2 linked regions of the Ovis aries genome follow. The protein of the gene in region 1 interacts with the protein of each later gene in a pairwise test. Links are inferred from orthologs where the notes say so. Each region holds a gene or a part of one and is shown in the gene's direction. Other genes may lie near its edges. The genes, in order: DHX15 and RBM5.

Region 1 (3,915 bases):
GCAGAAAGTGAAGAGGAACTAAAAAGCCTCTTGATGAAAGGGAAAGAGGAGAGTGAAAAAGTTGGCTTAAAGCTCAACATTCAGAAAACGAAGATCATGGCATCTGGTCCCATCACTTCATGGGAAATAGATGGGGAAACAGTGGAAACAGTGTCAGACTTTATTTTTCTGGGCTCCAAAATCACTGCAGATGGTGATTGCAGCCATGAAATTAAAAGACGCTTACTCCTTGGAAGAAAAGTTATGACCAACCTACATAGCATATTCAAAAGCAGAGACATTACTTTGCCGACTAAGGTATGTCTAGTCAAGGCTATGGTTTGTCCAGTGGTCATGTATGGATGTGTGAGAGTTGGACTGTGAAGAAAGCTGAGCGTCGAAGAATTGATGCTTTTGAACTGTGGTGTTGGGGAAGACTCTTGAGAGTCCCTTGGACTGCAAGGAGATCCAACCAGTCCATTCTGAAGGAGATCAGCCCTGGGATTTCTTTTGGAAGGAATGATGCTAAAGCTGAAACTCCAGTACTTTGGCCACCTCATGTGAAGAGTTGACTTATTGGAAAAGACTCTGACGCTGGGAGGGATTGAGGGTAGGAGGAGAATGGGACAACAGAGGATGAGATGGCTGGATGGCATCACTGACTCCATGGATGTGAGTCTGAGTGAACTCCGGGAGTTGGTGATGGACAGGGAGGCCTGGCGTCCTGCAATTCATGGGGTCCCCGTGAGTCGGACTCAGCTGAGCGACTGAATTGAACTCAAATGGACTGGAATGGGTGAATTTAATTCAGATGACCATTATATCTATCACTGTGGGCAGGAATCCCTTGGAAGCACATAACAGGCATGCAGGAAAAAGTTACGCCTTTTTTGCCAACTTTCCCTATTCCAGTAAAAACATCAATAGACTGCATATTGTCCTTTTCTTTCTTTTTCTTTTTCAAGACAAAATGTTAAATCAACTATACCCAGATACAATTTTTTTCTTTTTTTTGAAGGCAAAACTGATTACCGTAAGTTTGACATTTTCTCACTTCAGTTTCCTCAAGGCAGCTGAGCTCAGCAGTTTCAAGTTCCAGACCTGGAGTTATAATTGGGTTCCAGTCCTAGCCCTGCCCCCCCCTAATGCCAGGGTAATGCATAGAATCACCTACTCAGCATTAGACTTTCTCTTTTCTCAGTTTCCAAAATCAGAAGGGCATGAACGACCCAAAGGCTCAACCCGCCTAGCACCCACCAAGAGGGCGGAAAGTGGTGGCAAGAAGAAGCCAGGCACGGAGGAATAAGGGCGGGCCTGCGAGGCAGCGGGCGGGGCTGGAGTTCCCGCCTCCGCTGCGTGCGCGCGCTCTACAGACGCACGCACGCATATCATACCGCGGAAGCGCGCGCGCAGGCCCAGCCCTCGTCGCCGCCGCCATTTTAGCTCCTGGTTCCGGCCGCACGGTGTAGGCTGTTGTAGCGGGAGGGGTGGGGGTCCTCCGGAGTTTAGAAGGTGCCCTCGACTGCGCGGATAGAGCCGCGAGGGTTTCTTTTTTTTCTTCCTTCATAACCGCCTGCTCGAAGAGTTCGAAAATGTCTAAGCGACACCGGTTGGACCTGGGGGAGGACTACCCCTCCGGCAAGAAGCGTGCGGGGACCGATGGGTAAGCCAGGCCGGGGGCGCGAGGCAAGGGCTCGGGCTTTGTTGGGGTCCCGGCGGCGGACGGGCCAGGGAGGGCCAGGCCGAGCGGACCCCGGGGCCCGACGCTTTGTTTCGCTTTCGGCTCGGGTCATTGGCGGCGGGGCGCGGGAGAGCGGTGCCACTCCCGGCGTTCGGCCCGGCAAGGGCGCGGGGGAGCTGAGTGGCGCGGCCGCCGCCCGGCCCAGTGGAGAGAGCGGAGAGGCCTGGCGTGGTCACTGGGGCGCCTCCTCCCCGGGCGGAGTCGAGCGAGAGTCACTTCGAGGGGAGCGGACGGGAGGGAACCGCGGACCTCGTGGTCTGGGCTCCCGGTAAGGCCTGGATCCGGAGGAGAGAGTGGGGGAGGGCGCGGCAGGAGTAGTCGCCTCCAAGGGCACTAGGTACTTCTCGGGCAGCGGGGTCTGGGAGACGGCCTTGGCGGGAGGCTGAGTGCCCAGCAAGGGGAGAAGTGGAGGCCGAAAAGTGAGAGAAGCGCGTGGATTCTGGTGTAGGCGGGGGTGGGGGAAGTTGAGTGAGGCGTGCAGACGAGGAGTTACCGGGGGATGGGAGAGTAGAGGGCCATCCGTGAGAAAAGAAAACTGTGGAATATACCTTTTGGGTAGCAGCTGGTGATTTGGGGCCGCTGAGTTTATACTTTGGCGGGAGAGCGCGTGCCTCGGTCCATTCAAACACTTCAAAGTAGGTACAAGGCAAACTTCCGCTCTGTGCCCACGCTCCCGCCATCTCCTTTATTTCCTGCTTTGGCCGAAACAGTAGTTACAGGGTTATCCCTGGGATAGATATTAGAAGATAGTCTCTCTCTTTTTCCTGTGAGTTCTTGTTTTCTGTCCCTCTTCCCCGCCCTCATTCATAAGTAGCTTTTGAAACAAGAAGATCCTTTTCAAAAGTGTCTGGTATTAAAACGGCAAAATGTCGCCCTTGGGGAGATTGCTTGGGAGTTGAAATACACAGGTGTTTTCCGATTTCTTCCTACTCGGCCTTTTTTTCAAGATGCAGAGAAATTTAACAATTGACTTTCGCAATTGCACGAAAATAAGTTCTTGTTCTGTGTGTACTTTATTCCCTGATGTACAGAGATTTATTCGAATAATTCAGGCAAGAGACTTGAAAGTCTGGATACCTTCAATACTTTGCATAATTTTGCATAGTACTGTGTGTATACTTGTGCAGAATCGCTGTGTCAAGTCTGTATAACTTTTTTGAATTTCTCTTTTCTCTCCCTTCCTTTGGGTTGATTGAGGTGTCTGGGGAGTATAAGCCAGGATAGGGTGTACTTTTTGATATCTTTTCATGTGTTGAATACGGAAAGTATAAGTATGTAAGATTTTAATCTTGTAAATTTTTTAGTTTCCAGTGTTTATGTCAGTTTTGTCGTTTTCGGCAGTGGACCCTCACCCCGCCCCCTCATAACACACATCAAAATTTTACAAACTCTTTAGACCTGGAAGTCACTTGAAAGAGGAGAGTATGATTGTTCACACTCAAGGGATTCAAGGGATGAGGAATGGAGACCCAGAGTTGTTAAGGTGGCTTGTGCAACCTTTCGGTTTACAGCTGAATTTAGAACCTTGATCTTTTGATTTTCAGTTTGCTTCTTGCATTTTCCAATACAGCACACAGACTATGATTAGTTCAGAGTCATTACAGCCTGTTTTAGTGACGTGTATATTGGGTTAGTGAAGTAGGGAACACTTGCTTCTTTGTTCCTGTGAAGCAAAAGTAAGTTGCTTGTCATCTGGCTAAGGTGCAGCTTAGCATCTTAATCTCTCTCTCAGAGTTGAATTGGAAAACAATAAATGAATTCACTTATGTTATGATATATGTGCACCATTCAAGTGCTTGGGATTAGTGGTCCCATGATAGGGACATGGATTTGCGCCCTTTTTCTTGTAAATCTGGCATCTTTAGTAAAAATATGAACTTTTCAGGTCTTTCATGGTGAACTTATGATTCTCCTGGGTATTATAAATGACATCTACCTGTAGATGAAGGAGAGTTCATCTTTGAAATAAAACTCCAGTTCTGAGATGTTTTGGTGGGGCATTTGTATAGTAATTACTATGTCACTTGAATGTCATTTCTCATAGAACTTCATCTAGCAGTGAGTTTACAGTGTTTATAAGTGCTTGGGATTCCCACCCCCACCCCATTTAATAATTTTAAAAGTTAAATTTGTTGACTATCAGGCAGCCTTGCAGTTTTTTTTAAGCCCTGCTAGTTATAGTTAACAGGTGGTTT
Region 2 (3,815 bases), on another chromosome or scaffold:
AGAGAGGGCTGGCTGTAAAGTTATACACAGATGTTCTATTGCGTGGCGGGAGTGGGGTCAGCACCCCCTCATCCCCCTGCATTCAAGGGTCAGATATACTGGAAACCTCCCAAAATGGGTTTGTTTGTACTTGAATCTGCTTTGAAAGGCATTGGTGGTAGAAATGCATGTCTCTGTCATTTGTCTCGTTCACCTGCAGCAATCATACTTCGAAACATAGCTCCACACACTGTGGTGGATTCCATCATGACAGCACTGTCTCCCTACGCGTCCTTAGCTGTCAATAACATTCGCCTCATAAAAGACAAACAGACCCAGCAGAACAGAGGCTTCGCGTTTGTGCAGCTGTCTTCTGCAATGGTGAGATGTTCATTGAATCTTTCCTTTTAAAAGAAACTGAGATAAGAGGCAAATGTAGTTCATCCAGTTGTGATGCTACCTACGTCTAATGTTCTTGGAGCCCAAAGTTCAAGACTTAAGTAATGATAGTTATTGCAGTGCTAAATTATAGGCCGATGGCTTTAGTAAGTGGTGAAAATACCATTGGTATACCTGTAGATAACTGGCTGAACTGAAGTCTGAGCCACAATTTAGTCTTTTTTCATGCTTTTAGATTGACCTAGCACTGGCTCCTTTAATAATACTAGATACCTTGAAAGAGGGCTTTTTAAAATTTCTCACGATTTCATATCCACAGATAATAATGAATTGCCTTTTTTTTTTTTTTAATTTCTTTGACTAGGATAGGTGGTAGATATTTTCAGTTGCATGACAAAAATCACAAAATTGTTTTTCTTCACATTCTCCTGCAGGATGCTTCTCAGCTGCTGCAGATACTACAGAGTCTCCATCCTCCTTTGAAAATTGATGGCAAAACTATTGGGGTTGATTTTGCAAAAAGTGCCAGAAAGTGAGTGGCTTCATTGCCCTTACTTCAAACCGCTGCATCTGCATGCTTGTCCGAGAATGCGCTGCTAACTGCACTCGAAGCCCATGTTCTCTGTACTGCGATGGAATCCTTCCTAATTGGCTGGGAAGGATGCACTTGTCTTCTTAGCACTTATTCCCTCCTATCCTCAATACCAATTGCCAGAAAGCTTGAGAGCAGGACAAAACAGACTTGGTAGATGGGTTGAGAATATGTGCTATGCAAACTGCTTCAGAATGGTGCAAACCCATCTGGAAATAATTCTTTCCTTCCACAACAGCATGCTAATACAGCTTCATGTATGTAGAGCTTCATTCTAGTGATGTAAATTTCCCATTTCTAGTATCATTGCCCATCAAGTAGACACCTTATTAAATAGAAGAGTACAAAAGAAAGCAGCTATACTACAGGGACACATGCCCACTAAGGGCTTTGCCTTTGGAAACCCTTCCTCACTCTGAAATGTGGTGTTGCTGGCATTGGAGACCTTCCTGTAAAGTCTGGAGTGGATTACTGTTTTCTGGGTAGCGTGGGGTTAAGTGATAGGGAAGCATAGTGGTATAAAGTCACATGGTTGGATTTTTGTGGTTTCAGAGACTTGGTCCTACCAGATGGTAACAGGGTCAGCGCCTTCTCCGTGGCTAGTACAGCCATTGCTGCTGCTCAGTGGTCATCCACCCAGGTAAAGGGAAGGATCTTTTTGCTCCAGGTAGTGTGGTGGTGGTGCCCAGATTCATAGAAGTCAGCTCTGTGATTGTGCTTGCCTTAGAAGCTCTGCAAGGACATTTGAAGACCTCAGTGTGCACTAAGTCTGTCTGTGTTTCCTCTTCTTTTGACATTGTAGTCTCAGAGTGGTGAAGGAGGCAGTGTGGACTACAGTTACCTGCAGCCAGGCCAAGATGGCTATGCCCAGTATGCTCAGGTGGGTAGACTGGACCATTATCTGACTTCTGGTCTCCAGAGTATGTCCAAGAATGGCAGCTTTAATGGTGGACTCTTCTTCAGTACTCACAGGATTACCAACAGTTTTATCAGCAACAAGCTGGAGGATTAGAATCCGATGCATCATCTGCATCAGGTAATAGATTTCATATTCTTTTTATCTCCTGTTTAAGCAAATACAGTTGAGGACATAGAGCTAGATGTTCTCATTAGATCCAAATAAATCTAGGAGAGCCATTTCCCTGTAAAACGGGGGATTGGGCACTTTCAGGGATGTCACCATGTACCTAAGCTTCTGGGGCGATATTGGCATTGCTTGTGCAGTGGGCTTCCCTGGTGGCTCAGATGGTAAGAAGCCACCTGCAATGCAGAAGACATGGATTTGATCCCTGCATCAGGAAGATTCCCTGGAGAAGGGAATGGCTTCTCAACTCCAGCATTCTTGCCTGGAGAATTCCACGGACAGAGGAGCCTGGTGGTCTCGAGTCCATGGTGTCACAAAAGTCGGACAGGACTGAGCGACTAACACTTGTGCATATCAGGAGCTGATACAAAGCTCTTAGAGACTATGCCATCATGAGTGTTCATTCTTGAATTGAATTCAGTATTTTCCCTCTCTGTGCTGTTCGCAATTGTGGGTGCCCATGTAAGTTCAGTTGAGCAGTTTCTTGTCCAGACATCAATTAGAAGGGTCACTCTTAAAAGCTATTGCTCTAGTTTTTGTTCCAGTGTTACAAAGGTGTGACAATTAAGTCTATTTTCAACCCCAGAGCAGATGTGGAAACCTTTTTCCCCTTCTTAGCCATCATACAGAATGTCTGACTTTGTGTATCACATTCTAGTAGGATTATATAAATGAGAATATCATAGGTTAAAGAGTACTTACTGGGAATTAGGTGGTTAAGAACTGACATATACAAAGACGGACTCTAGATTGGGCATTCCGGGTGAGGATGTTTGGTGTAAAGTTCAGTGCCTTGGCTGTTGTAACTCCGGTGTTTATCATCAGGCACAGCGGTGACCACGACCTCAGCGGCTGTTGTATCCCAGAGTCCCCAGCTGTATAATCAGACCTCCAACCCACCCGGCTCTCCGGTAATCCTGTCATCTTAGATATAGAACTGGTGATTGTTGGGGAAACTGTTGCTGTACAAGTACTACCTTTTCTCACTGTGTAAGCCAGGATTGACTGATACATACACATTCCAACTTTACTTCTTTCTGTCTAATCATATTATGTACTGAAATAATTTTGTGTCTGTATTTTAAATGCAAGATTCCACATAGGGTCTATTTATACTGTGCATGCTTCGGCTTGACCTTTAGGAAGACAGTTGTCAGCATGTGTTTTGCTCAAGGATTGCCCTAGACCATTGCTACAGTGGGTCTGTCAGGGGGCCCTTCCTGCTGGATGATTGCAGTGATTTAGTTCTCTTGAGAGGCTTTACAGTTGAAACTATATTGAAGCTGCTGTTCTTTCCAGACTGAGGAAGCACAGCCTAGCACTAGCACAAGTACACAGGCCCCAGCCGCTTCCCCTACTGGTGTAGTTCCTGGTACCAAATATGGTAAGCCAAACCTCATGGGGCTGTTGACAGTTGGAAGGTCCTAGTTGTTGATTTTGTTTAATAAGCGCTCCTCTCCCTTTGTGGGTATCAGCGGGACACGTGGGGATATGAGAGAAGACGACCTTCTGCATCTCAGTGGCTTAAAATTGGAAGTAAAGCCAGTCTTTTCCCTGGAATGACTGTGTGCTGGGTTTTGTTTTTGCAGCAGTGCCTGACACATCCACGTATCAGTATGATGAATCTTCAGGATATTACTATGATCCAACAACAGGGCTGTACTATGACCCCAACTCACAGGTAATTTAAGGGGTAAAACAGACGTTTTGAGGTGTAATGTACTTACTGAAAAATTCATGAAACTCACACGTGCAGTTCTT

The links.
Region 2: the proteins of DHX15 (region 1) and RBM5 interact in binary tests that used the Homo sapiens proteins (3 or more experiments, as listed by UniProt). The link is inferred for Ovis aries from reciprocal best matches to the Homo sapiens genes DHX15 and RBM5.

What each region holds. Positions count from the first base shown.
Region 1 is NC_056059.1:44,755,495-44,759,409, reverse strand, and holds the start of DHX15 (ATP-dependent RNA helicase DHX15), read left to right. Parts: upstream 1-1,409; 5' UTR 1,410-1,571; coding exon 1,572-1,642; intron 1,643-3,915.
Region 2 is NC_056072.1:50,279,032-50,282,846, reverse strand, and holds part of RBM5 (RNA-binding protein 5), read left to right. Parts: intron 1-199; coding exon 200-360; intron 361-812; coding exon 813-910; intron 911-1,522; coding exon 1,523-1,610; intron 1,611-1,772; coding exon 1,773-1,850; intron 1,851-1,933; coding exon 1,934-2,006; intron 2,007-2,879; coding exon 2,880-2,965; intron 2,966-3,353; coding exon 3,354-3,438; intron 3,439-3,643; coding exon 3,644-3,735; intron 3,736-3,815. UniProt on the Homo sapiens protein: Component of the spliceosome A complex. Binds to ssRNA containing the consensus sequence 5'-AGGUAA-3'. Regulates alternative splicing of a number of mRNAs.